3 linked regions of the Neodiprion lecontei genome follow. The protein of the gene in region 3 purifies or fractionates together with the protein of the main gene of each other region. This does not show direct contact. Links are inferred from orthologs where the notes say so. Each region holds a gene or a part of one and is shown on either strand. Other genes may lie near its edges. The genes, in order: 14-3-3 protein epsilon, syndecan and 3-phosphoinositide-dependent protein kinase 1.

The links.
Region 1: the proteins of 3-phosphoinositide-dependent protein kinase 1 (region 3) and 14-3-3 protein epsilon purify together in Homo sapiens (affinity purification with mass spectrometry; 3 studies listed by BioGRID and IntAct, with this or other methods). This does not show direct contact. The link is inferred for Neodiprion lecontei from reciprocal best matches to the Homo sapiens genes PDPK1 and YWHAE.
Region 2: the proteins of 3-phosphoinositide-dependent protein kinase 1 (region 3) and syndecan purify together in Homo sapiens (affinity purification with mass spectrometry; 4 studies listed by BioGRID and IntAct, counting the BioPlex papers as one, with this or other methods). This does not show direct contact. The link is inferred for Neodiprion lecontei from reciprocal best matches to the Homo sapiens genes PDPK1 and SDC2.

What each region holds. Positions count from the first base shown.
Region 1 is NC_060262.1:34,812,543-34,825,865, reverse strand, and holds 14-3-3 protein epsilon, read right to left. Parts: upstream 11,396-13,323; 5' UTR 11,267-11,395; coding exon 11,203-11,266; intron 8,259-11,202; coding exon 7,952-8,258; intron 7,868-7,951; coding exon 7,524-7,867; intron 7,398-7,523; coding exon 7,327-7,397; 3' UTR 7,289-7,326; intron 7,087-7,288; coding exon of another isoform or gene 7,031-7,086; 3' UTR 5,389-7,030; downstream 1-5,388. Other genes in the region: uncharacterized protein LOC107226083, read left to right, coding at 888-2,129, 2,333-2,500, 2,581-2,757, 2,896-3,252, 3,520-3,873. UniProt on the Homo sapiens protein: Adapter protein implicated in the regulation of a large spectrum of both general and specialized signaling pathways. Binds to a large number of partners, usually by recognition of a phosphoserine or phosphothreonine motif.
Region 2 is NC_060263.1:25,405,211-25,415,490, reverse strand, and holds the start of syndecan, read right to left. Parts: upstream 5,156-10,280; 5' UTR 4,987-5,155; coding exon 4,912-4,986; intron 1-4,911. Other genes in the region: ATPase inhibitor mai-2, mitochondrial-like, read right to left, coding at 6,078-6,206, 7,150-7,282, 7,632-7,697, 7,778-7,791; uncharacterized protein LOC107220885, read right to left, coding at 10,133-10,280. UniProt on the Homo sapiens protein: Cell surface proteoglycan which regulates dendritic arbor morphogenesis.
Region 3 is NC_060265.1:25,017,353-25,027,468, reverse strand, and holds the start of 3-phosphoinositide-dependent protein kinase 1, read left to right. Parts: upstream 1-3,973; 5' UTR 3,974-4,080; coding exon 4,081-4,104; intron 4,105-10,116. UniProt on the Homo sapiens protein: Serine/threonine kinase which acts as a master kinase, phosphorylating and activating a subgroup of the AGC family of protein kinases.

The sequences.
Region 1 (13,323 bases), on a different chromosome or scaffold from region 3:
CGGAAGGTGAATGCAGCCAGCCTCATGTCGAAATCGGTAACTCTCTCATGTTCTGCAATAAGTTCTCAACTCTACAGTTCGAACAACTCAAGGGGCGCAAGCGCACGTCGATTTTCGATTGTCACACCAAAGCCCATTAGAGCAACTGTATATTCTTCAGTCAACGGTACGGCTTTCAAATAATAGTTTTGAAACCCAATCCGTTCCACGCGCTATTATCATGGTCGTGTGTACTAAAAAAAGCTAGCAGAAATATTGTGAGTCAAGCAAACTTTAGGAATGTTTAGTTGTCTCTCCAATCCAATGTCAAAAGCATTCTGTCACCCAATCAGAGACACCTGTCATACAAACGTTCTCAAAATGTAAATAAACAGAATGTCTGAAGTAATAAAGTCGGTTAACATATTTCAAATTTGCATCGGTCGTGACAAAATACTGAACGAGTCAACCAGACTTTTCTGTGTAGCAAACTTTTTCTCATAAGTCTCCTGATTTAAAGCTCAAGGTAATTCATACCAAATACTGTTTAAACTACATGCCATACTATTGTATAAACTGGGGTTACGATTAATCACACAAACTCACACTGGAAACCACAATTCATGCTTAGGTACACATCAACTCATAATTAAATATTTATTCCTATAGCACAATAAGATCTTCGTAATTAGTGATATCTTTACAATGAATTATGATGTTCAAATTATCGCATTAGAAGTTAGAAGTTAAAAAAATTTAAACTATCACCTTAGAAAAATAAACCACACTATCTTTATTTTGAAGCTTTTGCATCTTTCGGTTATTTGAAGCGTCACTATTTTTTAGTAACAATTCCTGGAAAATTGGATCCATTCGTTTTAAGAACAAACTATCGACAAGCCGCAAAAATGACGAGGCGTAAGAACCACCGTCGAGCTCGCCAAAAGCAAATTCTCCAAGATTCTTGTCTTACACTGGATAAATCAAATGAAAATATTGAAATTGACTATCTTGACCAAAGTTTGGGAGTAGATCATGATACACCAGATCCAAATCTAAGGACTCCTGAAGCGGTGATGTGTAATTCCCAAAATTCGACTGACCCGTTGCATTTTAAGGATCTGAGTCCAAAGTTAATTGGAAAAATTTCAAGATCCAAATTTGACCTTGAAATACCAGATTGTGACACCAGACAAATATTGAACATGGAATCCATCACAAAGCTCGACATAAGCTTCAAAAATGTGATATCAGAGACGCAACGTTGTGACGATACTTCCTCCATGTTGAAGGATATTCAAGTTGAACATAGTCATACCAATCTCGATAATTATCTAATGAATAAAACTGTATCTCTTGACTCTGCTGTGATAATCGAATTAGAAGCCGAAGGCGCAGCAAGGTCTGAAACGCATGACAACATTGTCAATAATACGCAAAAAAGTAGCATAACTCTTACGGCTTTTGATCAGCCTAAAAATAACGAATTTAACGAGACTAATGACCGCTTTAATTTCAATGATCTGAACAAACAAAGTAATTCCGATACATGTATCTTGGAAAAAAATAGCCCTTTGAGTTCAAAGAGCTGCCAAACGAATTCTTCAGTGAATAGATGTTTTAGATTTGAATGTAACCAAGGGGGGGAATATTCAGAAGCTGATAAAATGTTGCTGAAAGTAGATGAGAATTGGTACAGAAAGAAACAAATATTTCCAAGCTTGGAACAATTAGACATTCTGCACACACAATCTGAACCTGGACCGTTGCCAACTAATTATATAAATGACAAAGCTAGTAACACAAACTTGTGTGACCAATTTAATTCACAGTCAACATATTATGACAATGGAGATACTTACTGCTGGTCAAATGCGGATGGAGATGACGCAATCAATTATTCGAGAAGTAGCTCACCGCCAGCCAAAAGGAGTCGAACAGCATTGCATTTTGAAAGTGAGAACAAGCCAAAAACATCTATAGCTCACCCCCCAAATTTAAAATTTCAAAGTAAACCGATTGCTACGGAGCAGGATGACAGTGAATATACTATAGCTCTGAAAAAATACTGCAGCAGTTCCTCGTGCTCACCAGCATCTGTTGACTTGCCAACAGTATCAGATTTGAATGCAAAAGTGTCTGCGTCAGAGGTAAAATATAATTATTCCTGTTTCAGTGTTGAACTGAATTTTAGCTGTATTAATTTTGACACTGTTTGGGAGCTCTAAGGCTCTCCAGGGCATCCAAAGTTAAAATTTTGATCATCATAACGGTGGTACGACGAGAAAGTGCTCTCATAATCTGCCGACCGACAAAATGAATTAGCTATTTAATTTTTGAACCTTTCTCATAGATAGAATCCCAGGAGCTCCATTATGCCAAACCACATCCAGACTGTACGTACTGCCTACGAATAGCACAACCTCCGGCAGTGCAAATAAGAGCTGTAATAGTACCTTTAACCAAAATTACAGAGTTTTGTATATGGATTACAAAAAAATTTGTTGAATTACTTAGAAAGGTAAGCATAATATATGTAAGCCATGTTACATACGACTTTAAGTCTTCTAAGATGGTAACTTAGCTGCTTCTTTCCTAAAGGGATGGGTATGGCTCCAAAGTATAGCTGCAACCAATGTACGAAAACCTGAAAGAAATGACTCGGATGAAATAGTCGACAAGTTGACTCAATTAGTCACGACGATAAGATGTGAACACGAACAATCAATATCAATGTTAAGTGAAAAAGTAACGCAACTTACAGCAGAGCTGAATCAGGTATTTTCATTTCATTGAAAAATTGACAACTTCACTTCGCCAACATTACATACTAATTATAAATTTAAATTTTATCTAGAAGAAATGCTTATCACTACATTGAAACTTGACACTCTAAATAAATAAATGTTGTTATAGGTTCGAATGCAAAGTGAAGTGGCATTCTCAGTCTTGACCACAGAAGTTACTGGCATGCGCGAAACCAATATTAATCTTGTGCAAAACAACACGATTTTATCAGATCAATTAAAGTCAATAAACAGTACGTTGGAGTGTACACATGTGAAATCATCCTTACCACCACCGCCACCTCCGCCACCTCCACCACCTCCACCACCACCATTACAGCCAATAATACCCACGACACCAAAGAGTAGCAGGAGACTCAAAACACCCACTAGAAAGTGTTCTACTCCATTACATCAGAGCAGACCAGCTATTACAGTAGAAGATTTGTTGAAAGTTACTTTGAAAAAGGCAGCACCATCAGCCAAGGTAAGGTCTTAAATTGTGGGGCTATAAAAATGATATTTTTCGACAAGGCATAAAATTTATTTATTCTATACTCAGAATATCGCGAATGGTCAATGTATTTTCGTAAGTAATTTCGATTTCTGTATTTTGGTCCAATCTTTACAGCTGACTCTAATCAAGATATTTCCAAAGAAGTCATCAATCATCAATTAGATTTACCAATGAAACATGCTATATAATACAAAACCTTCCATCGAATTGAAAAAAATCATGAACATTCACTTCCAGGAAAACAAATTGCACAAACCTGTACACCCTCGTGGTCCAGCAGTCTCGCTGGACATGCTACGTAGTGTGAAACTAAGATCGGCAAGACGTAGATCAATTGACCGGAGTTCAAAATCACCAAGAAGTACATCACTGTCAACGAGAGCACGTTCTCTCACACCTATCAGTTTGTCTCCGATTATGGCAGGGATAGAAAGTCCATTGGGTAGAATCCTTCGACAGGTGGACATCAATAAACGAGGACCAAAGCGGGCTTTATCCAATTCAATGTACAGTGATGTAGAATTGTCCAAGAACAGTCCCCGCAATCTCAGCATAGTAAAACACAGTAAGTCTGACTCATTGATGATATAATGCCATACAATTTTTTGATCATATTAGGACTGTGAACATATGAAATTAGTAGACTAAAATATAAATGCTCAAGTGAATCACACTTGAGAGACCAGTGACCTGGTCTAGTTTACTAGAATTAAGAGCACAGCAAATTTTACTGAAAGATATTGTGAGAAGATTATTATACATGTATAAAGAAAAAAAATAATTCAAAATTTTTTTGGATGAACAAATAACGAATTTTACGAAACATAAGTAAGCAAATATGATTTATATGAGATGTTCGAAAACATTTTTCAGGTATTAACTCATGTATAAAATTAGAAGATTAGAATTAGCGACCTGGTCTGGTTTACCAGTACTAAGTGTACAGAAAATTTTTTATTTCATGACAACGGCTCATGCCAAGTTTGTTACTGAAAAATATTGTGAGAAGATATTTATAAAGAAAAAATTATTTATGTGTAATCAAGATACTAGCAAGATAATTCGAAAATTTTTCAGAAGAACAAATAACGAATTTGACGCAACTTAAGTAAAGTAATAAATAATGATCGAAACGTGGTGTTACAGAAAAAATGGAGACATTAACCCATGTATAAAATTAGAAGTTATTCTGTAATTTACTTAACTTGTGAAGTATATGTACTTATTTGAATTCCGTGGAAGATATTTAATTGTATTAGATATCAAATTTTATATATATTTATATTAAACTGAAATAAGTTACCTCCTTTCGTTTTATAAACAAGAAAGGGCGTTTCTTCTTTTTGTGTCAATCAGAATCAACAATGCAGAATCACTTATATTGTACAAGTAGACTGTTGAGTTTTAGAAAATTTAAATAATCTGTGATAATGATACCACTGAAACCCGAGACACATTCGTTTAGTATCAGACGTGAATTTGTATGTCCTTTTATCATGTAATTGCAGATAAACATCCTCGAATAAATGATGTGATAATAGCACGAATGATATTTCAGTCATGTTGATTATATCAAAATATAATGTGACAGTTATAAATACTTCAACTTCAGATCATGTCTACTTTTAATATTTCGATACACAATACAATGAGTGAATTGGATAAAAACAAGAGGGAAAAATATCTCCATATTATATTAGGTGAATCAAAATTCCAGACACCTAAACTTACTTCATCACCTTGGAATTTCTGCGTTTGAACATCTTGAAATTAGCAAAATACATAACAACGGACGATAGTAATGAAAAACAAAAAGATAATGAGCATTTAATTACTACTAGTTTGATTCAATTCCAACTTAATTCTCTGTCACCTACACATATACAGTTATAGATATGTCCATGATCTAAATTGAATTTGGTTAATATGATTGGGCTGTTACTGATACATCATAAAAGTACCTGTATATGACACAAACACCTTTGATTTCAGCAGAGATAGCAAATAGTTTCAATTAAGATTAAATCATTAGTTGCAAACCTCAGTACTTCGCAAGTCTACAGTATTGAATTAATTCCATCGAAATTCAATGAACAAGCCACAAAATAGACAGTAATAATGACTTTATTTTCAGTTTTCATGTGTGGCTTTACAGGAAAAGTCGTAATTGGTGTATTGTATTAATTTCCTAATACAGAGTGAACGCATGCGAATTCCAAAATATGATTTACTGGTTCTAAGTGTTTATCGAATTGCGTGTGTGTGTTGCCTACATTGTCAGCATTGGCATTTGTCTTATTTTCACGTTATTTTTTTAAATGTCTTGTTTTTAGATTCAATAATTAAATACCCCGTGGTATTTTCATAATTTTACAGTATATAACGTTTCACTATTGCAAAAGTTAATCTTAATTACTTCAATCGGCTCCTTGTACAATTAAAATTATTATTAATATACTTACTTATGGTATTATCAATATTATTTAATGTTATTCTTTGTAATATATTTATAATATAATTAAGAATTAATATTACTGCTATAATACTTAAATGTAGGGGCACGCCACACACCAATTTCCACAAATTGTTTCTCTTTCAATTTTATTTTATTGTTTCTTTTAAGCATGCCCGGTGTCCGTCTTGCAAGCGTACGCTTAATTCAAACTCTTACAGATTTTACGTAAGTAAAAGTATATGAGGAACAAGAGATATTGTGGTACTCTCCATGACATTTTATGATCAACGAATGCAATACAATGAAAAGTTCACCATCAGATGTTTCATGCAGGATTACCAGACATCAGCTTCTTCACAGAAATACCTGATATTTACGTAAAATCTCCAGAAAAAGTATTAAGCTACGTGGATAAGACGAAGAGAAAGAACGAAAAAAAAAGGGATGCGAATAAAAAGAGAGCTATTAGTTTCTCAATTTACGAATTGATTTTGAAGATTCACAAATTGATAAGTTTGATTATTAATTTACGTTGATGTACATGAATATAGGTGATGATGGATAAAATAATTTATTTCAATGCGCCACATAGATACACGTAATGTTATGATTATAAAAAAAAAGAAGGAAAAATGAAAAATTTTGCATTAGTAGCAAAGTGTTCGTATTTTTAATGTCTCAGCACGTATCAATAGCATAAGAATGTTTGTAAAAAAAAAAATGGTAATAACAATTTTTTTTCTTACACGGAGTAAATGTTAATGTTTATGTTTTTTTCTAACCTCTTCTCATGATCCACGTTAATGATAGTTCAACTACATTTTTTTAAAAGATTACATAATTATTGATTATCAATTAGGGTCTCGGCGCATTGGCATTCAAGAATTTGGATCCAAGCGTACGCAATGTAGAAAACTACATATAGCAAATTGGTCCCCAGGACAACAGTGTAAGCTACACTCAGCCAGGAACTAATATTGCAACAGGCAGCGGATTTTCACTTTGTTAAATGCTTGTAATCTCACTAATACGCAGGATGCGTCTCTTATACTTTTTCTGCGTGCTCCATAACTCAACAACATGTGATTGGATGATTTTGGAGTGAACGCATGTGTGTTTTACCACACGTACGACCACATGATAGCTAAAGAGCTTCCCTCCCCACCCTGAACTCCCACCCGCTGTATGTTTTTTTGTTTTTTTTTGTTTTTTTTTTTTTTTGCTTAAGAATTATTAACAGTTTTTTTTCTTTCTTTCATTTGTATGCGCGAATGACACTCACTGCAACTTAAGTTACGACACGTCCTGGTCTTCCACATCATGCAGCTGCTCTTTCTGGTCGCCTTCGCCTATTACAAAAAGTAGCTCAATTTTATCTTTGAAAACTTAAGTAGTAATACAAGAAAATACAAATTTTTTATCAATGATAATTTTACCTAAAAACTACAGAGAAAATTATCCTATTGAAAATCTCATAATTTGATTGTTCGATTCAATTAACAGGTGTTCTTGGTTTAAATTGACCTTGATCAGCAAGGAGATATTTCTAACCTGATGATGGTATAAGGAGGGGGAGTTGGACAGTGTTCTTAAGGATGGGAATCACTTGTAATGGGTATAGCACCATCTCCTTGAACAGTTGGCTGCTCTACTTCAGATTCTAGATATGAAATTGAAAATGCCCCATCTAAGACTAATTCTTTTTATATTGTTCACGAATTTTCAAGATTTAGAATATCATTTCATAAACCCTTATTGAGTCAATAGAACAATAACTATGACTTACCGTCCGCCTGCATATCCGAGGTCCATAAGGTGAGGTTGTCCCTGAGGAGTTGCATAATGAGAGTTGAGTCCTTGTAGCTCTCTTCTGAAAGGGTGTCCAATTCAGCAATAGCATCGTCAAAGGCAGCCTTTGCAAGGCGACACGCTCTATCGGGACTGTTCAAAATCTCATAGTAAAACACGGAAAAGTTAAGAGCCAGTCCAAGGCGAATAGGATGAGTAGGTGGTAATTCTGTCATTGCGATGTCGCTCGCCGCCTTGTATGCAACCAGTGAGTTCTCGGCCGCCTCCTTCCTGTCATTACCAATTGCAAATTCTGCAAGGTAACGGTGGTAATCACCCTTCCTGTAACCGAATCAATGTTTCTCAGTAAAAATGTCATATGGAAAATGAGATAATGATAAAACAGAATAAATTTACAGTCCTTACATTTTGTAATAGAAGACTTTAGACTCGCCGGTTGACGCGCAGGGGATAAGATGTTTGTCCAAGACACCGAGTATGTCGGCACAAATGTCTCTGAGTTCTTTTTCAACTTGCGAACGATATTGGCGAATCATCTCCAATTTTTCCTCAGCCCCTTTGTTCTCTTCTTTTTGCTCGATACTAGAGATTATCCGCCATGAGGCTCTTCTCGCACCAATCACATTTTTGTACGCGACGGACAACAAGTTCCTCTCTTCGACGGTAAGCTCCACATTGAGGGATGCTACCTTTTTCATCGCCTCGACCATCTCTGCAATACAAATATTATGACTAAAGTTCAAACGTTTGTCAAATTTATGACACATGATACAATTAACTAACATTGGATTACAAATGCCAGGATGCAGTTTTGCTTTACGGAACATCTTTCTCAAGACAAGAGCAATAATTTTTTCACACACTTCTGTTTTTAGCTGATGAAAGATGTGTAAAAACGAAAATGAAGACTTGATGAAGAGGACAAACAAAGTTTATTTATCTCGTGTTTTCTTATTTTTATCTAAGTCAAGAACTTATTAGGTGTCACTAAGGGGTCAAAAATAGTAAGTTAATTGGTAGCTATTACTGTCAAAATTAGAATTTTTTCAGAGCTAACGAATAAAAAAAATCACTTACAAAGTTACATGCATATAAATAAAATTCTGAGGTATTTCTGATTCATAAATCATTCATAGATTTCAGAGTACCATGTCAGTGATTCCGTGATTTTCGGAAATACTGGGAGTTTCTGAGGTAATTGTCAAATTTTTTGATCCAGAGTTTGCAATCTACACCATTTTATTCACTATTTCATTATTTACGTAGAATCACTGTGATATAATTTTTGAACTCCAGTTGCTCCAGCTGGCATTTCATTAAATAACATATAAACCAGAGGTCCAGTACTTGGTTTGTAAATCATGTATTGAATAATTCGAATTTCTTGATAAAAACTTCTCTACTTTATGTAAAAGAATTGCAAGAAAAAATTAGCAAAAGGAAATAAAGCATTGTTTCACCTTTCTTAACAAGAAAATTCCTGCAACAATTCGAAATGCCTATAATACAACAGCAAAATTCGTCTCAATGTCCTTTAAAATTATTCTGTTAAAAAGATCAAAATCAAGATCCGTTTTCTCAAAATTGTTAGGTCATTGGAGATGACACGTACAAATATGCGTATAAAGCATATTTTACTGGGAAATTTAAAGTGTCATATAAGATTTTTAAAAGTTATCCTTAAAAGTAAAGACGAAAGTGGAAAATTAGACATCTTAAAATCTAATATGTGTTGACATCTTAAACGAAGAAAAATGAAACTTGACACTATAGCAATGTAACAACTACGATTAATGTAAAAGTTTTACAGCTGTTTCTTAAAGCCAAATAACGGAACAGAATAGCAACCCTTTGCCTTTAAATGAAGTTTAAAGTCTCTTGCAGCGAATGAGAAACGGTAGCAAATGGACCTGCAGATAAGTCCTTGAGAGTTCTCCAACCAAAGTAGCAATTTGAAAAATGGAAATATTATCGTTATGCAACGAGAACTTAACGAGGATTAAAAAAAGGTGAGACTCCTTCAAGCAATCATTACGATAAATCAATATTAAAATTGTGTAAGCTAATCAGCTGTAATTAAATGCACATATAAAACAATCAAAACGAATAATTCTCTAAAATGCATAAAATACATGATTGATGTAGCATAGTAATTCCTTTTATTCAATGAATTGATAAGACCAGAGAGTTAACACGAATAAAGTACATGGGCTAGAGAGTGTACAGGGACACAGGATAGCAGGCACAGATCAATACTTTCCTTCAGCTACGACCTCCCTTGCTTCACTCATCCCCTTGCCTGGTTCTCCCTCTGCCTGCTTGCTCTTACTACCCTCAAAATTAAACCCTCCACTGATACCCTTTTTGACTGAGATCTTCTTGATAAATATTTTATCTATTCAAATATTTGCCTAGTCATTAATAGGTTCATGCTGTGATTGGCATCCAATCAAGATTAGATTAATAATTTTACCTAAAAATAATGTACTTATATATTTTTTCCAAAATCACAGCACGTATATTTGTGAAGAAGATTAGTGATATCATGAAATATCGTTTGGATCTGAATGAAGATCTAAGTGATTTGCCATCACAGATAAACTGTTGCAACATTTTAATGGGTTTTAGCTCCGTAGTAGGGCGGATTTTCAATTATCTCTTCTGTTCGTTCACGGAGCTCTTAACAGATAATATACAGCTCATGAGGTAATGCATGTTCCTGTCAAACAGTGAGTACCAGCCTACTACATAGCATGTATTTGCCGGAGTAATCAAAGAAGACGACATTGCGTATACGCAATTGTTCTCAATTGTAAAAGAAATCGGGAAAAGTTGATGGTAGTGTTTTTTTCGTCGTTCCTTTTCAAGAATTCGTAAAACGGGACTTGTTCTTATTGTACTGTTACTTAAAACGCAATGATGTAAATTGAAACAGCGATATCGCGTGTAAACGACTGCGCGAAGATGTAGAGCGTAATTTTTGAAGGCACCACAGACGGGAGGGGGGAAAAGTCCCCAAGCGAATAGCCATACTTTACTTTGGACGGGAATAAAGAAATGATGGAACTCTATAGGACGAGACGCGACATGGGGACAAGGTTGAAAAAAAGAACCAATGAAGAAGAAGATAATCCCGATAAGTTTGAGGGATTTTATGCCTAGACACGAGTTGATAGATACGTGCGGTTAAAAGCTTTGCCTTCCCATGTCTATGCGTCACTCGAAATGCGGTTATCGCACGTTCGATTACACGCCTAGCAACGTTGTCCCGAGTCACTCGGCATGGATTATGATTAACGAGGCATAACCACGACGAACTCTAGAATTATTCATTGCTGTAATTAAAGTGCCGATCAAGAGTAGAGAAACGCGTAGGAAGCAAAAGGGAGGGTCACCTCGAGGGACCGGCATTGCGCGCGGTAGGCGAATTTGTCAGTTCTGACGTTTGAAGTTAGATTTTGACAGTTCTTTGGAAATAAGTGGCAAAAAAAAGTGTGCAAATACATGAGAGGACGCCCATCGTCTGTCAAGTATAACAACCGGAAAAATTGACCACGGAATAATTAGCTGTGGAAAGGTTTTTTCGTGAGGTCATCGACGAATTTCACCGAATTTCTGTTGGAAGCCGAAAGATTTCGTTAAAAATAACGACTCACCGTCATAGCGTTCTGCCTGCTCGGCCAGTTTTGCCTTGTAGACATTGTCCTCCCGCTCCGACATCCTGGATGCTAGCGGATTTCACGGGGTCGCTGAAAGGATTCGAGAATTCGCACTAGATACGTATCACCGAAAAACGGACACCTCCTCGGACGGCTGCTTACAAGCTCACTGACCAAGATGGCGGCGCCCGCCAACAATCGAAAGCAGTCCCATTGGCGTAGGTTCGAAGACTCATTGTGATTCGGCCGTGGAATGTATTACTACGCGTGACGTCACGTTAGTGCCGTATGACGATGAGTAGGTCCGCTTTCCAGGTAAATCCGCCGCTTTAAAATAACTTCAATCCCCCATCCACGATAAAGATTAGTGAATTTTTCTGCAATGATACGCACCGGTTTAATACGAATGCGAATTTAACACTTGTAATTAGTAATATTATTACGAACTGTCCGTCAGAAAGCGAATGCTGATTTTCACAAATAGCCAACAGAGTGATTTGAAATGTTAAAGCCCGGCGGGCTGTAAGGAAGTTTAAAAATACACATGAAAAAATACGCGTGTATTTTTACGTATGTATAAATGTATACCTGTATACTAATTTATACATCGCGCACGATGCGCATATAATAAAATTAGTTTTTATTGACGATAGGAAAACATTATTTATAAAAAAATGTCAAGAGACTAGAGTGGGGAATGCGGGTGTTGGTATGAACCTGTGATCAAGGATATTCAATAATCTTGTCATGGAATAAAAACTTCATATAGCGAAGCAGTTGTATTTTTTCTTCTTCAACGAATGCCTACTATACAAGCTCTAATATCCAAATATTTTCGCTATCCAGATTATCGTTATATTTTTTTATTTATTTATGTTTTTAATATTATTTATTTAATAATTATTTTGTATTTATATGTATACAGATAATGTATCATCTTTTCAATAATTATCAACAGTTAAAATTAGATTACAGCCTGGGAATAATCGTACGGATTTAACATAACAGTACAACATACTGCAAGTAGAAATCTGTAGTTGTGAAAATTTGAAGATGAATCACCCATTGATCTATCAAGGTGTCAGCTAGTGATCGACAAATGGCAATCTCATCGAGCTTCAATTTCCTCAAACCCTCACGATATGAATCATTCAAATGTTCATTTTTGGACATTCATTGGAGAGGAATTTGTAGTTAAAAGCTGGTGGGCAATGTCATCCGACTTTGAAGTACAGTCGTTGGTGCTTAATTCTTTGATTGATATACATAAATGTAAGAGATGTTGAAATTTTCGTTTCTGAGCCTAGATAATCTCGAGGATAATCTGCGATTTGAAAATTTATCATGTCTAATTGTAAGTGTGATGACACTATTGAAATAACAGTGGATCGTAAACAAGTTGAAAGCGGACAAATGAATTCCGTACAGTCTGTACTTTCAATTCATCCGATACTGATACAAATCAAGTTCAAATTATGTAATCTTAATGAAAACAGTCCAACACTATTATGTAATTCCAGCAGGGAATAGGGATACACAATAAGTTCATTTCAATAATAATAATAATGGTGATAATAAAGTAATAATATTAAATAACAAATGTAAATCTGGGACAGGAAAAATTCGTAATAATATTGTATACAAAGCCTAGTTGCTTCCCTAATTAAATATTTTGGAAGCTCACACGCCACCTTTATTTTTATTTCAATTTATTAAATTATATCATATTTGTTTCTGTACTATGTATTAGTTGTGCAGCATGGGAATTTTAAGCATCCTCTTTTCTTTAAAATTTCAGCCTGCAAGACGTTGCCAAGTAAAGAGTACCGCAAAAAAAAAAAAAAAAATACTATATGCAATTTTAATAAGGGTAAAATTCATTCAAAATAAAAAGTAATAACTTTCAAGTCGAAAACTACTTTTCAAACAGTGAAACTTTTTATAAATCCTATGAAATAATTTTAGTTCATTTCTTGATGCAAAGGAAATTCGTCAAACAAACAAACTCCAACGAATTTGACTGGCATCGATTTTCATGTTTTTAGTACACTGTAATTTTAAATTGTTTTTAAATTCTCCGAGGATGCCCAATTTTAGATGAAACTGCGTTTATAATTG
Region 2 (10,280 bases), on a different chromosome or scaffold from region 3:
TTTTATCGATCGAGTCGAGTCAAGCTGCAGGTTGTGCAGGGCTGAACTCGCCCTTGCATATTGTTAGTTCTGGCGCACCGCACTGCACGTTGCACTTGACATTATGCGATTGATGAGGGAAACTTTGGAGTGGGTCGTAGAACGAACAAGTCGTGCGATTAATTGAAAGTACGGAAATCCACAAAGGGGCGAGTAACGAGAAAAATATATGAAGAAAAAAGTAAAAGAATTAATGCATAGATATGAGTGAGTTGGTGAGGTTGTATAACGGGAAAAAAAAAATTCTCGCAGTCCAATTCCCTGCAAACTTATACAAGTGAAATATAATTACACCTACAGGGAATCGGAATCGCGGGGCAAGGAGGTCGCAGGTAATTGAAAAGATATATGAATTTCCTTCCAACTCTTCTTCTCTCGCTTTCTCTCCGTCTGTCCTCTTCTTCTTTTTCCTTTCTCTATAATTCCCAGTCTAAGTACACCGCGTCGCCGCGACAAGCCAGCGATTGAGGAGATACAAACGCAATTTCGTTATAGCGGCAAAGATCCGGCATTAGCGAGGTTAAAATGGTGTAATTACAGTCGGCGTGGGCTTCTGGCGAGAGGGATCCCTCACATTAGTACGACAATCGTTTCCATTGAATCTTATACTATTCCATGTGGGTTGGCCCAACCGCTTAAGGCTGCATCTCTGCAGACGTACAGTCGAGTGAAAAAATTATGAAACAGTTGAATATGAAAATCAGGGTTTCAAAGGTGGGACCCAATTTGATTAATATAAATTGAATTGTATGTGAGAACTATGTCTCTTCTTTGAAATAAAATCATTGTGAAAAAGAAAAACACTGCAAATTAAACTTGAAAAAAAAAATCTATTCATATTAATGACCTTACAAAGATATCTTTTTATTGTTTTCTTGTTTGGAATGCCATGCTCGTGTTGTTTCTTTGTTATGGATTAATAGCAGGGCTAATTTCGTACGTATAAGTACGGGGGATACTCTAAGGAGATAACCAGAAATAAATTTAAAATAACGTCTCAATATGCTTTTTTTTATTGAAACATAAGTTCGTTAATCATAGCCTATACCGTCTTGCGTAAATTGGTTTTATTACACAAATTGAAGACCGACGATGAAAATCGATCTCGGTCAATTTGTTAAGAATTAACTTTGGAACGAACAAAATCACTCGTACCTAAGATTCTTGTTGATAAGCGGACTTTGCGTAGTTGAAAAAACGTGAAGCAACGAAACTTAAATTGAATTCAAATCGATCGACCTTGGTAGCTATTTACTTTCAACCTTCGTCGTTGTAACACATTTTTATTTGGATACTTTCGTGTTTGGTTTGTACGCCAGATCTACGTTTTTATAAATACGCCACTGCCAAACCAGCCAACGAACGAATCACCTCTCACAGGCACTAACACACGCACTTTGCACCCTATGCAAAAACCGAGTGAATCACGTGAGGGGTGTCTTCGTGTCCGCAACCCTCGCGAGCAAAACGAATATCCCCCCATCCATGATTTACGTAAAGCAATCATCACGCGCGTGATGAAAGTCTGTTCCATCGAATATTACACCGAAAGACTTTGCTTGCATCCTTATAGTTTTTATGAATAATTGCCCCTCGCCTCTTTAGCCCCTGTGCCAAAAACGCACTTTGAGTATCGAAAGAAAGAAAAATTTGACTGACTGGAAATTCCATCTTTTACTAGGATTTTGACGACATTAAACAAGTTCGTCGCTTTTACCTGTTAGTATGCCAAGTACGTACGTGATTCATTGATTACACTAAATTCTAAACGATGGTGAATGAATTGCAAGATGTGTAAATGGAAAAACAAATTCGTTGTTTTATTATTTCGAACTACTCTCCAATCGCAGTTTGTTAATCCTGGTCGTTCGGTTTTCTTTTCCAATTCAAAATGTTATCTGAAGCAAGCATATCGGATTGATGGTACAAAACATGACGTTTTCAATAATCAAACTTGTAAACTTGAAAATTAGTCTAGAAGGTCAAAAGTCATCAGGTCAAGAACCTGGACGGCCAGAACTACGGAGCGCTTTTCCTGGATGTCAAAATCCACCGGGTGGAGGACCTGGACAGCCAGAACTACGAAAATTAGTCCTGAAGGTTAAAAATCACCAGGTCAAGGACCTGGGCGGCCAGAACTACGGAGCGCTTGTTCTGGAAGTCAAGTTTCACCGGATAGCGGACCCGCAGCGCAGGGTCCAGGAGGTAGAGAGAGAATCCGGTACTCGAAATCTGCCGAGCGCGATTCTCATCCGTCCGCTTTACTGCGCGATTGTTTCGAGACTGAGGAATTCGGCTAGCTGATTTTCGTCGTTACGATTACTATAGATGGATGACGTCGAGAGAAAAAAAAATTTTGGATGACGTCACTTTCTGAACATCCGAACATCCAAACTATGGTTTTCAACTTTAATACTATGTATGATGTATGATGTGTGATGTTCACTCGTTTGCAAGAGCACTTCTCGACCCTTTTGTATAATCATTTGTGTTCTTTAACTCATGTTCGCTCACCCACCTGGAACATTTTCTGATAGTCAAAATTTATAAAATTCGGAGGCACTTTTCCACATGAACGAATTGCAAACAGATTATCAACTTTTTGTCCTATTTCTAGTCAAGTATTTTGCTTTATTATTATAGTCTGCATAAAAAGTACCGTTCTGTGCGATTGCAAATTCAAGGTTTTCAATAATACCCACTATAAATATTTTTTCTTAAATTCCCCGATTTTCCCTCACCAAATTATGAATTTCTCTTGGGTAAAATTCCAACTAGTAGTACGAATTGGAGTATCGAATAAATAAAACTCCGAACTAATCAGTTGTCAAAAATCCGTGTATCCATATATTTAAGGGTCATGAAAATGAGCACGTGAGGGAAAATATTTTTCTTGTCTAGTCTCTACTTTTCTATCATGCCACTATAAAATTCCCTCACTAATTACAAAATGTTTTGTCCTTTCCATAAATTGCCTGACCACTTTGCGATTCCGTGTTTTTCTAATTAGTCAGAAGCTACAGCAACACCATAACTGAGGTAAAAATCATGATTGGAATGTAATATGTTCTGAAAAATGGATTATGCAACGATGCATTCTTGTATACGCGCGTTTCCGAACGCTTATGTAGCTGGCTGGAAATATATTCCTTGACGGCAGTCAAGTAGAAAACTTCCCTTTAATAGAATAACGAAATTCTTTAATATTTACGGAAGTTACCGCAATTTTCTGGCGAGTCTAATCTGGTCTGATACAACCGTCATTTATTTATTTTATAACCCATAACGTTTTCGTAACATTTTTTCTCCCATGGTGAAAAAGTAATAGAAACAAAACCATCTTTCATTGGTACGCAAATATACAAACTACTAATACAAATACAAACTAAGAATGGGTTATTTTACGGGGTTTAAGTGTATAAAGTTAAAATATCGAAGCATAGCAAACTAACAACTACGTCTCACAAAATATAAGTGACAGGCTTTGCTTAGTCAAATTCCTAATTTCAAGCTTCGTTTACAGTTGACTGCATCAAAGAGGCGATTAACATGAAAAATTTTCCTCAAGTCAACGTTACGAATTTAAACCTCGTAATGAAATGTGTGAAAAAATATAAAATTCACTTTTATTCGTTTCTTTGAACATCGCGGTTAAAAACGTCGAGTTTTTTGTTGTGCCATATTGCAATTTGCACGTTCAGATATGGAACATATTTTCGGTTTTGATAAAACGCTACCGTTCACACTGTGAGAAAAATAACGGTGTCAATATAAGTCCACACTGATTAGTGTAAAATTAAACATCATCGATGTAAATCGTTCGATTCTGGTCACCAAGTGGTTTTAAAATCAACACTAAAATGGTGTGAACTTCTATAGAATATTTTCGTTGTTACATATAACACCGCATTTCTAACAGTGCATCAACAGAGTTCGTGCAAAAAGCAGTTTACAAAATTCATCGCTTTCCACATTATATGTAATTTAAAATAGTTAAATACAAAACCCATCGTTTGTACAGTCCATAAACAGCCTTAAGTGAGATATAAAAAGATTTGTAATTTGTCGAGTAAATATGAATGATTTAGCGCAAGCATTTCCCAGAAATCATTTTCCGTCGCGGTAATGTAGCTTCGATATGAAAAAGTAAGAAAGAAACTAGGATTACCGGGTATTCAGATTTGAAATGCGACTTTTGTAATCAAGCTCCCTGACTTTCTTGACCTTCCTCCTGGTTTTCCAGATTGCAAACATCTCTCCCCGGTGTTTCATTGACGCGATTGTTTACATCTCGACGCGCGTTGCCTCGTTCCTTATTCGTTTGTTTTTACAATCGAGCATATATTATCATTTAACCATGGCCTTTCGCTATCGTTGTTATCAATTTCTGCCGGTTTTCAATCACGGGGACGTAGACCAGGATTGTATTGAATTAAATCGACTCTGCTTACGCGATGTAATATCCCGTCATCGGGTCTGGAAATATTCTTTACCAGGGCATCAGAGGGCACGAGGGGGTTGGCGGGGAGGTTCGTCGCTCCGCTTATAGGACGCGTCCGTCACACATGGTTCTCCGTTCTCGCGGAGATTTCCTAGAGCCACATCCGTATATAAGCGATGCATTTTCCCCCGTAACGCGAGGGTCGGTCAATTGATCGCGTCGTCTGCCGCGTTAGCCAGTTTTCGAACTGCTCGTAGGGATGAAAGGTGTCGAAAAAATATTCAACGAACACGGACGAGCGAGGTAAGCTTCGCAGGTATTATTCGTGATGAAAAATGAATCGAAATGCTTCGAGTGGAATGACTCGGGATGCGAGAGACTAGACGGGGTGAGGACCGAGGGAAAATGAAAAGTGACAGACGTTCACTTACCTCTGATGCAGCAGCGTTGCATCCCGATAAAATAACGCCTCCGAACGCCAGAAACAGGTATATCCTTGGGTGCATTTTTGTTTATTCCTTCGCGAGGGAGGGGGAGGGCCCTGGACTGAGCCCGAGAGTTTCACTTTGTTTCGTTAAATACAAAACTAATCAAATACAACCGAAAAACCACCAAAACTCGAGAGCAACAATGCGAACACACCACACTGATCAATGAATCCTACGACACTGAGGGCGCGACGGTCGTCCCCGCTTCTTCTGTATTTCGCGCCATCTTGCCACCGGTAGTGCCACCTGTGCGGATTTACGGCGAAGCTCTCGTGTCGGCAGAAGTTCGATCGATGCGTGACTATGATAGGGTAGGTCCGTGGCGATATTATGACAAACCCCTATAACGTTAGCAGATTATTTATCAGATGCGTCGTTGACTGAGGCTAATATTATTCGACTCGTATTGTCGAGATTTGAACTTGGGTTACAGTCATTTTCAACTGATATTCATCACTGTTAACACCTTAACAGGGATAAGAAGTTTCAGTTGTTTTTCGAAATGAATTTATATTTTTTTTACTTTGCACAGAATAGCCGCGTATTCAACGATCATTTTTATTTTGTACGCTCGTAAAGTTACGCGAGTGTACTTTGAAGTAAAATAGTTCAAAACGGTATTGCATATCTGCCTGACAATGATTTTTGAACTGCATTTTTACAGTATTTAGGCTACCGAAGCAATATCGTACAAAATGAAAGAAAGTCAAACAAGTGGAATTCCCATTTTTATAACGTGACAATGTGATAAAACCTCAGATACAGATAGTATTATACTAGCAATTGGAACTTACAAAACCAAAAATATTAGAAATAGAAAAGAATTGCATCGTTGAATTAGTTCAGTTAAAGCTGGGAGCTAGTATGCTAAGTGTGCAATAGCTCAAAGCTTAATTACAACATAGTTTTGGATGATGAAATATGAGTTCGTACAACTTTTTTAACTATGAAAAGCTGTATACTTTATTTCTACATAATATTTAAAGATTTAATAGTTTAAAAAAAAAAAATTCCATTCAAGATGTCATTGACTATCATTGACATTAAAAATACAATGATTTAATTTGATGTATGGCGGTTCAGCTATTCGTCAAATCCTGCATACATTTTTACTTCTCCATCTTTCCAATTCGAGCCTTGTGGCGCTCTATGGCCTCCTGATGACGCTTTATCTGTTCCTCGTGAAAAGAGATCTCATCATGAAGACCGTCACGCAGATTTTTCAACTGCTCCTTTTGCTAGAACAGAAAAAGAAAATTCAGTGACTGCATATTAAAGTGCGTGAGAATTATCCTATGGAATACAAATATGACGCAACCTCTTATGTTGGCTATTGAAATTTAACTTTTTGATCTTGGTAATTACTCACATATATCTTGTGAAAATGAATTTTGTAACATTTATACAATGTTGCAATTATAAAAAGTCTGCTTACTGCCCAATTTTGGGATTATATAACATTTGGTGAGGCATAATAAGGAAAAACACATTCACGGTTTGCAAACTCAACTCTTTCAAATTAATACGAGAGTTGAAATATATAAATTTTTTGTTTGATCTGTCGTTACGTCAACATTACTGATTTCAACTTCGTTATTTGGTTTTGCCATTCCAAAAGTTCAAGTCATTCAGTAAATTATTTGAGACAGCTTCGAAGTATCTTTGCTAACATAATTCAGCAATAGTAAAATATATATTTTTTCTATTCATTCCAAGCAGTGTCTCCATGGAAACAATCAACATATCTATCAGTCAATTTTGCAACAATTGCATAAACTAATTGTTGAAACATAATGACAAAGTTGAGAAAAAAAATTTTCCTCAGTTAATAGGAGTATCATGAAATATATCTTAAAAAGTCATTAATTTTATAAAATCAAACATTGATAGTGACATATAAGGTTGAAGATCACCACATCAACGTTAAGAATAATTTTTATTTTTTTTTAGGAAGAGCTGTTATTTTTTCATTTTACGTTCTTTGCTTGTAAGAAAATGTAACAAATAAAAGAATATGTTCACTTTTTGCAATCTTATTTCTTTTATAATCATTTCAAGGTTACAAAACTCTGAATTTATTTCAACTTGACAAACTCCTACTAACTTTTCATTTCTCAAGTTAATGAAGAATAGTGTTGAGGACTGCTTAAACACCTATCCTATCCTATGCTAGCGTTATACCTGATTGTAGAAGTATTGGTCTTCGCGTGCTGCTTCCATCTTGCCAAAACTTCCACCAGCTTCCCTGATGCTGCCACCGCCACCACCACCCTTTCCTGCGCCACTACCTGGTTCACCAGACATTCTCATGTGGCTGAAAAAATAGCAGGATACAATCATCGTGGAAAATCTTGTAACGAGGGATGATAGCCTACGTGGATAATTGCATGCAGTTTATTAATTCTTTAGTGATGGGTATACTTGACATGGTAGGGTAATGGCTATTTATTGAATATGTTTGTACATTTCGATCAGAAAATTCTCAAAAAATTTGTCAAAGTATATTATACAGTATATCTACTTGGCTACAGATATCGAAAAACAAACTGTTTCAAAACTCCCAGTCTTCGTGTATTTTAACCCAAAGAAATGTTCACCAGTTGAAACAAAATTTTTTATTTTGAATCGAAGAGTGTGTCAGACTTGAAGGGTTAATAAATCACCATACACTTGGAGTATGCCTAGTCTGGGTTTGGCCCCCACCACTTCTGGCCAACGACGTACTTTGTCTGCAATAGGACGCAAATAAATTCTACCAACAACGCACTTGGGGGTGACGCATTTTGGTAGGTGTCGGGTAAATACACACCTATGTACATGCATTTCTCATTGGGTTGCGTAAGGTCGTTATACCTGCTTTATTTGGATGACTGGGTTATGTAATACTATAAATTTGAGTTGACTACGGATTATGCATGTGATTCGATTTATCATTAACGAAACTGTCTGTCTTGTCGAACATTGCGACAAACGAGCAACGTATGTGCACAAGTTTTGCATTCCGTAGCGTAAATTGCTTGACAATCAGCCAGCAACTAGTAGCAGACGGCTAAAGAGCTAGAGCAGCGAAAATAGCGCAGGGTGAGCCGGTTACGCACCGTTGTGCCGGGAGAATAATTTCGATCTGTCGATCTTTGGTACGGTAATCATAATAAAATATTGTGTATTTTTTAGTACCTGAGAAACGCCATGTTCCGCGATAAGACAGTTGGTATACGCTGCATGTTCGATCAGGAATTCAGAAACACTGTGCAACACTACGATGAATTTTCACAGATTTATGAAATTATGTTCGAAACGTGGGTTATGAGTGAAGGAAGAATACTGACTGCCGAGGAATGTCCACGAACTGGACACGACCGTTAGTTACAAAATTACCCGTCATAAGCGGTGGCAGCACTGCAGGCTACGATGACAATAAGCAAATACATGAAAATTGCACCATGTATTCAGAAATCGAACCACCGAATCCGTTGACTGATGATATATAAAGACCTTCAGCTGTGAGCTAATATTTCCACCATCTGGGTGGATCCGTAGGTAATTCTATTGCTCTGCACTTACCGACCCATCTTGTGAGATTCGAATGTTAAATCGAGTCGGCAAAGCAAAATACTGCAATTTCCCGCCGGTCTTTTTTGACTCTCCTTACTATACCTTTACATAAGATTACCAATCCTTATATGTATATCTTCGTAATGTGTAAAAACGGCATAACTTTCAGTACAATCTTTGAATTTTTGACTCCAAAAATATTCTGTAAGGTTGTTGGCAGATCGTCACCTACTCGATATATTGAAAATATTTTAAGTTTACAATTAGATCGTCTATGAAGCTTCGTAAAAGCATGAAGACAAGTCAGTCTTATGGTCGGTCTCTACGCGATTCGATTTATACTTATGCAAGTAACCCCGATTTTTGTAGCAATTGCAATTTTTGTACAGTTATGCTATTTTGAGTTTACAATTTCTTTCTTTATCGCAAATTTGATTCAGGGGTGCAATGCAAACTAAATCTTTCAAATTATTTCGGTGATACGTGTGAAATTAATAAAATGTTATAAATTAATGAAAAATTACTTATTTTCTCGATAACTTTGGGATTCGTTGATAAAAATGAAAAACGGTAGACCAAGGATTGTATAATTTTTCTTCTTATATATACACAGTGAATAAGAATGTTTAACATTCAGCTTTCATGAGAATCCGTGATATCACGTGCTTGAAGTGATTATTTTGGCAAGGGATTCTTGACGCATAAATTTCGAACTTCCTCGATTAGTGTAGACAACGAAGGGTTTTCAGCTCCCAAAAATTTAAAATTTCATGAATATTCAAGGGAATATGTACAATATATTAAATACTCAACTGTCACAGCTTTGACTTACCTGCAGGTGTTATGGCTGTGCAAGCCTGTATTCACAGCTGTGTATAATTTCAGAGTGTTATTTTATAACATTCGAGAATTCATTCGCAAAAAATTTTCTGGCGAATCTTACGTGATCAACATTAACAAAATAATGTGCAAAAAGTAGCTCCAAAGGGGCTGAAACACTTGCAATTAATTATAGGGCGAAAAATTATGTTTTGGAAGAGCTAGTGAGGAATGAATATACTATTTTATTTTAATAGTCTTAATAGAAGTGTCATTACTTACAGAAGTTATATTCCACGTCAACTCAACAATTAACTTTCCCTCACCAGCTTTAATTTTGTCCATAATTTTTTATACGATTGTCATAACTCTAAACAGCACTCCTGAATTATATGAGATTTTTATATCCGACCATTCTTTTTTTATAAATTTTTAAAGTCAAAACAAACGCCATTTGTGAAATTTCCCAAAGAAATTCTCAAAAATTCTGCGATCAAAAATCATTTCAGGCCAAATCCAAAACAGATAACTATTTTGTTTATATTATATGCGATCAGAATTAATAACAGAAATTGTTCAAACTTGCTAGTATCAGAAACTTCATGTACAATACAGTCTACAGGCAGAAGCAAATAAAAAAGATATTTCACAGTATATGCATTGAGTCCAGGCACTATGATTGAAATTTTTTTATGAAAAATATTTACAAGATAAGCACTTAGTTAAAAAAACCAGAAATTGTGAGACACGATCGCGCAACGTCTCGTGTATTCATTCCAGACGTACGAATTTACCTGTGAAATTCAGCAGCTTGATTTTCGATCAGATGTTTTTTGAGCTCCGAAATTTTGAGCTCATTAAGAGCAGCCTGTCTTTGAAGTTCAGCTCTTTGCAGCTCGAGATGGAGCATTTCAAGTTTCAAGTTGTGCTGTTGCTGC
Region 3 (10,116 bases):
ATTACGTCTACGCGTTATAAATGATATGTAATTCAATGTACGTTACTACATATTATACTCTTACGATCGATGAAGTGAATTATACGTAGTAGGGATTTTTATTTTTATTTCTGGGCCACGAAATTCGTTGTTTTATTTAAACGAATGCGCGTGAAATTGGAATTATTCTAACAATTCGAGGAGTAACATTCAACTCTTATTATTCATACATAAACATAAACACTTTGACGCGTTACGTAACCTACCGCACGACGAATAATATTATTATTTTTTTTTCCCTCTTGATAACGTCACCATGCTGATTTCGCGATTCGAGATAAGAGTCAAACAAAATATGACACAAATACCTGTTACCATCACCGCGGTTGCGTAACCGCGATATAAATCGGATTTCGATACACTTTGAGATAATGGGATCAGATCCAAATCATGGCCGTAAGTCCGGCAGGCAGCGTATAGCTTTCGCGTCAAGCAATAAGCAGCATAAATCCAAAGAGCTATCGGCGTATTGAAATTTTTCACGAGGTTGTTTGGTATCGAAGAGAACGATTAGCTGTTGCAAATTACAAGTAAATAACAATAACAAAAATAACAACAATAATAATAATAATAATGAGTTGTATGCATGTACGTATGTTTCTTTTCTGCCCGATGATACAGCCGACGCCCACGCGATAGCTTAGCTAAAGCCGATGAATCACGCGTCAATTTTGAAAAAGAAATACACTTAAAATAAAATAACAGGCTGATTTGCGATCCACGATCACCGGCGGGGATGGCGATAAGGTAGTACAGAAGAAAAAAAGAAAAAGTGAAATAAAAGAACGACAAATACGCGATTGAGGAATGAATGAGGGAATCGAAGCGGACTAGGGGAGACGATATGAAATAAAATCGCCTACATGAAAATCGTAATTTACGGAGGAATTTTTTTCCTCTTTCTTGTACCTGTATGTACCTACCACACATATATAAGGATGGGTATAATGTACGATACATCATGGATATGGTACACGCAGAAACTTTGACTGCGTATATATATATATATATATATATATATATATACCTACACATACATCAAGAATATTCAACAAATGTCGCGAAATATTCACATAGTTGTACCCCGCAAAGACAAAAGCATTTTCCATAAATCTTTGGCTATTTTGGCACAAGTCGTATCGCGGTAACGCGGCCTCGCATTATATTACACGAACGACCGTTTTCTGGCGAAAATGTCATTTGTTTCCTAGCAATGCGGCGGTATTTTCATTCGTTGACAAGTCTCATTTATACACGGTGAATCGTTCCATCAAGATAAAAAATAGAAATATTTTTTTTTTTTTTTTTCTAACAGAAAAAAAAATATTGAAACAGTTATTTAGAAAAATGGAAAGAAAAATTCGGGGAAAGAAGAGAGTAAAAAAAAGTGAGAAAACAGTTTGTCAATGTCTGTCCGGATACCCGCACCTGATATTTCTCGCCAGCGGAAATACACGCTAAATCATCGCTTCACAAGGGGATGGCCCAATCGCCCACAGTTCTAATTGTGAGAGTCATAGTAGCAATGACATAGCGCTTTGGTGCATAGTTATAAGTGGCACGGTTTAGTGGCCTATAGTTCCATGGAACACATAAATAAACGATGTACACAGACTGGAACAGCCCAAATTTTACGTTTTACAAATTCCGCAGAAAATTTCGTACTGAAAATTGCACGTTCCGAAAAAACCTGCGTTATTGATACAGTGAAACGCCTTTTTTCTTGCATCAGACAATGTGAAAGGGTGTCGAGTAAATTAATCCGCAATGCTTAATCGATCTCTGTCTCTGTGCTTTTCACAGGAAGCAAGAGACACCTCCAGCTTTAACTCCCGTAGCAGTGTGTCGCCTATTTTAGGAAGAGGATCGGTGCGCCCAATCCTACGATTCCAAGCTTTTTCACATCATAGCAGAATCGAGACTGCGATGCTTCGATTTCAACGCAGGGAATTTTTATCGTGGATGCGATCGGTATGTTTTTATTTTTCTCTTTTTCTGCAAGCGCGAATAAATTTTTTATGATCTTTGTTCGTTTGGATTTCTGCACCCTTAAAATTGGCACTGAACCGAAACTCTAGGACTTCAAGTAATACGGATTAGTCTATAAGTTTTCAACATAGATATGATGAAAAAACTTGTCACGATACCGCAAACCTTATGTCACTAATTTTTCAGCCTATTTTCGAATGATCGTTTCAGCGAATTGGACAAAATTGTTGCCTGAAATGTTGCAGAAAATCTTCTCGATTTAGTTTTTTTCAACTCTACCAACATTTTGCAGCTGCATCTCTTTCGATTCTTTTTCTAATATTGTATTGCATTCCTTTGGACGAATTAGATACAAGGCATTTTTGAGACCTTTATTCTATACGGTTTTTGGAATATAAAATTTTCTACTTCGATGATTTCCGATGCAAAACATATTTTCAACCGACTGTAACTTCCGAAAGCCAAACTTGATCATCAAAGTTAAAAATTGGAATTGTTCTCATTGAAAGGCATTGTTTAAATAAACAACTCGAAAGTGTGCAGCATGCTTAGAACAATGAAATTGTGCTCCCAAATTGAAAAACCAAATTCCCGCATTGTAATAATCATTTCGTACATTGCTGTCTAACTTAGGCACATTTTTATTCTTTCAATTCACGGAATGAACAACAAATTAATTTCAATCGGTATGATCACGGCGAACGGGGGGAGGGGGGTGTTTACTATTCTCATTTCTCTGTTAACAGACTCCTTACTTCACCGCGTCATGAAAGTATAACTACGTTTCGCTAGGCTGCAACAGCCCTCGTTGTTTATTGACACCGGGGGCCACAGATGCCTTATTCTTCTGGATAATATTTTACAACACGGCCTGTAGTGTCGACTATACCGAATAGAGGCAAAAAATGTGAAAACGTGCTTCGGTTTTTCAAGATTTTAAAAATTTCTTTCGTCCGAATTTCTCACGAGATATCCGTTCGATACGTTATTTGATATATAGTATAATAATTCCACTTATATAATAAACATATATGTACATTAGACTGTCTCAGTCATCAGTCTAATGTACATGAATGAAAGAAAACTCTTAATCGTAACGGAAGTGAATTCGTGGCAGAATAATGGAAATGAAAGTAATAAATTTAAAAAAAATTGCATATACCGCCGAACCCGAAGGAACAAATCAGCGGTCGGACGGAGTTTTAAAAATGTTGCGTATCAGTGACCGGGTGCGCCATCTACTCGCGTTGTGAGGAGGTGTTTAAAAATGGTAGTTTTTACCGGCGCAATCGGTGTGCGAGTTGGTTGAGCGCATAGCGAGAGGCGAGCCAACATAACCCAACCTAGCGTAAACATAATCATCACGGAAGCGAGACTGGAGTGCGGAAATCGTTGGGAAACGGGCGAACCTAGATCGAGCGAGGGTCGCGATTCGGGCGAAGATGCACCGTCGTCCGTAGAGGGGGGGATGATAGAATATTTGAAAATTCTGGGGCGCCGATCAGGCGTTAAGAGAGGGTTGAAATACGGCCCGAACCTTCCGTCGAGGCGACATACAGCCGCGCACCGTCTCGCGAATCGTCAAATTTCGCGTATGCGGATGTGGGATTCTGGATCTTACCTTGTCGGTGGGCCCTGGGAGGGCCCTGGGAGTTCGGCCAATGCTGAGGAGCGGCTTTGTCGATCGCGGCACTCGAAATTCGGACCGCGCGAATTCACTTGTCACAAATTAAAGTAACACCACTGACGGCGGCCATACTGCGATCAGGCATCGCTGGTCGTCCGGCAGCTCGGCTCTGGCAGCGTTTCGGGGAATCAGTCTCTGAGGGTTCGCCGACAAGCGTCGAGAGGGCGCCACCGTGCGGTCTGAAGGTGGCTTCGACCGGCCTGCCGACGGATACTCGCCGTCGAACGCTATGGCTGACAGTTTTTGCTATTTCAAGATAGCGGTTGCGTGTGTGACGACGGTGTGCGCCGAGTGTCGCTGAACCTAAAACAGCCTGTCCGCCGCTCCTTTTATTTCTGTGCAAAGTGAACCACACTCGACTCGAGATGTCCGAGGCTCCAGCACCGATGGTAAGTGCATGACATTACCCACCGTTCCCCCCCTTCATGCCCCTGTCAATTGACAACACGCCGGTCATTCGCGCCCGGCTGTGAGACAGCTGCTGCTAAAAAATCCAGCCTCTCGTCGTCGGCCACCCGGAGCAAATTATCGTCACTCTCCTTATTATTCTTCGCCACTCGTTACGTCAAGGTACGTACGTATGCATGTACGTACACAACCGACCGCCGGGCGCACGCGCCGCCTCGTCTTCCTTCTTTCCTTCCTTCCTAGCGTCGCTTGGCTGCGTGTGTGCTTGCCTGTGTTTACGCCGGCCGTCGGGGTCAATGTGATTCCTTATCAATGCTCAGCTGTGCGGTCGGGGCCGCCTCGCCTTCCCCTTCCTCGCCTCATTCATTCCGTTCGAAACCCCGTCGGCTTCTCTCTCTTTCTCTCTCCCGCCGCCATGTGCACCCGCCATGAGGCGTGCGTGGGTGAATTACAGCATTTAAACTCCTGACGTCACGCGTCAAAGTCGACGATCGCAATTGTCACGCCACATTGTCTCGGCGTTGCATCTCTCCGTTTACGCATTGTAAGATTCGTACACACTGTGCCCTAGATTGTATGTACATAGGCGGCGAACGTAATCCTGATTACGATGTCCTGATTTATTGGAGGAGGATCGATTATACAGAAATCAGTTCTTCGGCGAAAATGTTCTACAGAAATATTTTTCTACCGAATACTTTCCGACAGAAAGGAATTCGAGATTCGCATCAGAAATAAACCTGCATGAATTATCTTACAGAAGAGCTGTTCTACAGAATATTTTTCTACGGAACAGTTTTATAGTTATACACACTCAACACAATACCCGTACTACGAAACACAAATTCAACGCAGATAATTTAAATTAAATTAGATTAAATGAAATCAGAATGTATGATTTTGAATCGATTCGATGATTGCTCCGAATTTGCGTTGTGTCAAACACAATCTGTAAAAAAATATTCTACGGAACAATGTTCTGTAGAACAATTCTGCCCGTAGAATAATTCATGCAAGTTTATTTCTGATGTGAATCTTGAATTCCTTTCTGTAGTAAAATATTTCTGTAGAAACGACTCTATAGAACATATTCTGTAGAACATTTTCGCTGTAGAATTGATTTCTGTAGAACCGAACCCCATTCGATTTACTTCTTCCTGATTGTTTAGTGCTTTTCTCGCAATGATTGTTGTCCATGTTTCAACCTTCTGGCTATTAAGCTAACGTAAGAGTTGTGGAATTTTATTTGCTCGATGTCTTATTGACGGTATTATCTCGGAATGTTGATGCATAATAAAATCGTCTTATGTAAGGTTACAGACCAAATATTCACTGCCATTGGGGACAGTCTGAACGAAGAATTTCCAACTAATCGAGTTTAAGGAAATCGCTTCTATTTTACATTCCAAACGATTCTATAGTTGTATCAGGTTTTCTGTACCTTCATTTCACAGTTGTAGATACGACTCTATGATAGGTGGAAAAATATATTTTTAGCTGACAAAATCTTTGAAGAAAGTGAATCACCTCGTTCACAGCAAATCAACGTGATTATTTGACATACCGGTACGAAATTGAAAAATAAAAACTAAATATCATATTGAGTAGCATCAATGAATTATTGAGTAAATTATAGTTAAAATTTTATCAACCATATCGTTGGATCTTTTCACATCACGCTGTTATTTTTCGAATACTTTGCTTCCGTAATGTTTTTAGTACACTGTACGTATATTCTTTCTAGAAATACGCACTACTTTTCTTCTCATCCTGATCTTATTTTCTTCTCTTTTCGTATTTTCGTATTTTTGTATTTTTGTATAATATACACGAGACGCGCGTCGTCATGCTTAAAGTAAATATTCCCTGTTCTTAAATCCCTCCGTTTACGTAATCATTTGCGACTCGCCATTATGTCCACCACACGTGCTATTAACGGGGTCTCGTATCCCCGTTATCGCTTCGCCGGAGATCGCCGCAGGTGCCTGTACAAGAGTACATACATTTTATCGTAAATATCGCAATATTATTCGCAATCGCGATTTACGTGAGATTTAGCAGGGAGTACTTTATTATTGATTGACAGCTGTGAGATTTCCAACACGTTTGATACGCAGTTTGAGTGTGCAGCTGATTGCTATATAAATATGCGCCGTTGTACCGTGAAATGTTTGGTGTTTAAATTGTAAGGAATGGACGTCGAAACAACTTATTTCAGATTTTACTCTGCATAGACCATACGTACCAATTGACAATGTATATATAGATACTGTTGTACAAACTTTTTCCAAAAATCCAATCTCGAGAAGTGTAATTAAATTTTCCATGGCGATGCACATGATCTCGTGATATTGAAAATTTTATCAGTGCAACGTTTACGATGTGTTTGGTAAGGCCTTCGGTTCTACAGAAATCTATCCTAAAGAGGAAAAGTTCTGCAGAGAATACCGTACAGAATCTCTTCTACAGAAATTTTATCCCACCATTTTATACGCTTGTCTGAAGCTCAAAATCAACACACTGATATTCTTCAAACTTGAGCACTGCTTCGAAGTTATCGAAAAGTAGGGAAACAGTGATTTTTCTACGTTTCGTTACGTTAACGTTACTAACTTCCGCTAACATCAATCTAATGAAAATGTCATAAATCCTCAAACAATTTTGCACTAATCAGCTCATTGATATTACCAGTATTAAAAAAAAAGTGACCAATTATTTCTTTAGACCGTTATTCTTTCTCTTTAGGTGTTTCAATTATTTCTTGTCTTGGCAAGCAGCGTTTTTAGCGGAAATCCGCTACCGCGAGCACGAAGGTTTTTCAGATTTTGAACCTTCCGATAAAATACGGTAAAAACCGCAAAGTTCTCGATTACGATTTTCGTGATTAGAAATTAGGGCACCGAGGCTACCGTTTTCTCAATCGCAACCCGGAAACTCGGCCGGGCCAGGCACAACGTGTATATTTTAGATAAACACAGATGCAAACAGAGCCGGCGAGGCTCACGTGCCTGTGCCGTATTTGTTATGGATTCAAGCAAGAAGTGTCCCCTCGAGATGATTTCCATTACACAAAGTTCCGGGCCGTGGCCTCAAAGTCTGCATGCACGTAACGCGCCTCGAATCGAGGATGTTGTCATTTGCGTACTATCAAGTATTCGCTTTTGTTGTTATACGTCCTACGCGAGAGTATCGGAAAATATATGGGACACGATATCGAATTTTCAAAGACGCGAAAATTTCTTTCACAGAATTTAAACATGCCCGAGGTAGCCCAAACGTAGGAGAGCCAGAGCACAAAAAGTCAAAGTATAGAATGTCGTCGGTAAAAATGATGTGATGGTTTTCTGTACTTTACTTTTACACTCTTTCACTTTTCTATATTACAAGTTTCTTACTGTAACATTTTAAAATTTTGCAAAACAGATTTTCGCGTTGTTCGAAAATTCTACATTGCGATCACGTCTTATTTTCTAATATTTCCAAATCATCACCCCCACCTTTCTGCTCATCTCCATGTCTACTGCTCGATTATAATAAATTTTCAACCGCTGCCGTCGTCGACTCGCTTCATCTCGATTAATTTTTTTCTCATCGCACAATAAACGAACTGCCGCGTAATTGAATATTCACATATTTATAGTCATCCAGCTAGAATTTTACTCGGACATTTTTACGATTATAACCGTATAAATCATCATTACTAACGCTATTTTTTCCTCATATTCTCATCCTCATGCAGCAGCAGCGGCACCAGCGGCTTTTATCGTACGTTCACGCATAGCAATCACTTATCTCTCCTCGGGATGTGCCAATAAGAATTCGAAATGATTGTGATGTAAAAATACGAGCACTTAGCTCGCGCTATGTCGCGTGGCGCGCGTGTATCATGACATACGCGCACAGGCCTCTGTCGGGGCTGCGGGTTGGATGCTCTCGGGAATTGCTAGTACAGGGCCGTTCACCCTGTGACGGCCGACCTTGTCCCGCCCCCAGGGGTTGGAGCACTTTGGCCGCTGTCTGCTGCGCAATATACACACGCTGGATGCCCGATTATTGCTTTCCTGTTTCCGCGTGCGGTTCTTCTACGCAACTCGAATAAACGGATACGCGCGAGAGCGAATCGTTGTTCGTCGGTCGCGTTAAATTTCTGATCGTCGAACGATTGCATCAGAATACGGAGTGCAAAGGTTTGTCGTCTCTTCTTCTTTTTCTGTTTCTCATATCACTCGACGTGGGAGAAAATGCGTGATATCTTCGTCTAAATTAATCCGGAATGAATATTTATCTCCGTCTCGAATTTCTCTTATTCTTGCCCTCGTCGTTTGCTTTTTATTTCTTCTCTCCACTTTCAGGCTCATTTCATCCCGAGCTATGCCACCTTCTTATTATGTATATATATACGTATTTAGCCACCTTGGGATTTACAAAATTCAATCGGTAGTCTGACGCGCAGGCGCAACACAATTCGAGAAGTGAAATTGAAATTCATCGTACTTTACATATTTTTAAAAAATTTCCTGTGCAGATCTCTGACAAAGTTGGTTAATACTAGGCGTCGCATGTTCCAATACGTATTTTGTCTGTATTCTGCGTTTTTCGTTTCACGATATCAAAAAAGTACGCATTTCTTCAATCTTTACGTACGTATCTAAAATAAATTCGACGAACAAGGTAAAAGGCAGGCAAAGAAAAAAAAATTATTCAATAATTATTAATCAATTCTATACAATCCGTTGAAATTGTTTTTGGGTTTTTTTATTTATTTATTTCACGTCGAACTTCTCAGTCGTTGATATTTGCCGCATTTTTTCGTTTCATCTCTTCTTTCTCTCGGAGGCCGGACGGACGGAGGACTAGAGTTAAGCAAATGTCGGTAAGGTATATTTAGGAAGGGTTTAATGTGAGATGAGCGCCACCCACGAACGCTTGCGGCTGACTACTTATATTAGAGGGAAATCATTTCCCACGCACCGACACGTGCAGACTGCGAGATACGATAGTAGAAGATTCGTCTATCCAGGTTTCTGCGCACTTTCAAGGTCGACCTCTCTAAATGCCACAAGCTATAGCGACTACCGCAGCAGCTCTTTTATACTATCGGGTAACCGTTTTATGTCAGACTCGTTCGTGCCAAATAACCATTATACACTTTGCACACGTAGCTGTCGCTGCTTTAAGAGTTATCCGAAATTGATCCTGATACAGACTTACGCTGATCTTCGATGATACCTGCATTCTAGCTGCACACGATCGCTTATGCTTCATTTTTATGTGGAACCATTTGAGGGACCATTTGACCTGCAGATTAAGTGACGAGTGATTGGAAGATTTTGATAATTTTACGTGATATCTAATAATTTCACTCGTTTCACGCGATTTCTCTATAAGCTGTAATACTTTAGATGATTACAATTTCGAATATGCATAGATGAATTGAACTCGGATTTCACACAGTTTTCAGTGATTTCGAGCAACTGATTCAACCGTAATTTGTGTTAAACGATCAATAGATTTTCAACCGATTTCTCGTAAGAATCACTTGATGCAAAGTGGTTTGCAATTCTGCAATAATTGAACGGTCCCTCAGAAAAAGTCTTATTCCAAATAATGCTACTCACGATATGCACTTATAAATTACGCTATCTGAAACCTGAGAATAAGATGTACATAAAATTTTACAAGGATGATGGAATTGTATAGACAAGTTTCGATACTTACTTTTGCGAATATTCTGCACCGCCGCTTTGAACCGGCTCGTGGAAAACCGGGACGTATAATAGTAAAATTGGATCAGGACGGGAAGTAACAGCGATGCCTTTTGGGATCGATTCTCGTGACCGATGTCGGTGATGCGTTAACGATCAGGAAACCGCATCAAGGATATCATTGGGGAATACGCGTGCAATGAACGCGTAGGTGCGTAATCGGTGGCAACCGGTGATAATAACCCTGCATAACGATCGGCGATGGTTAGGTAGTAACAATGGTTCAGA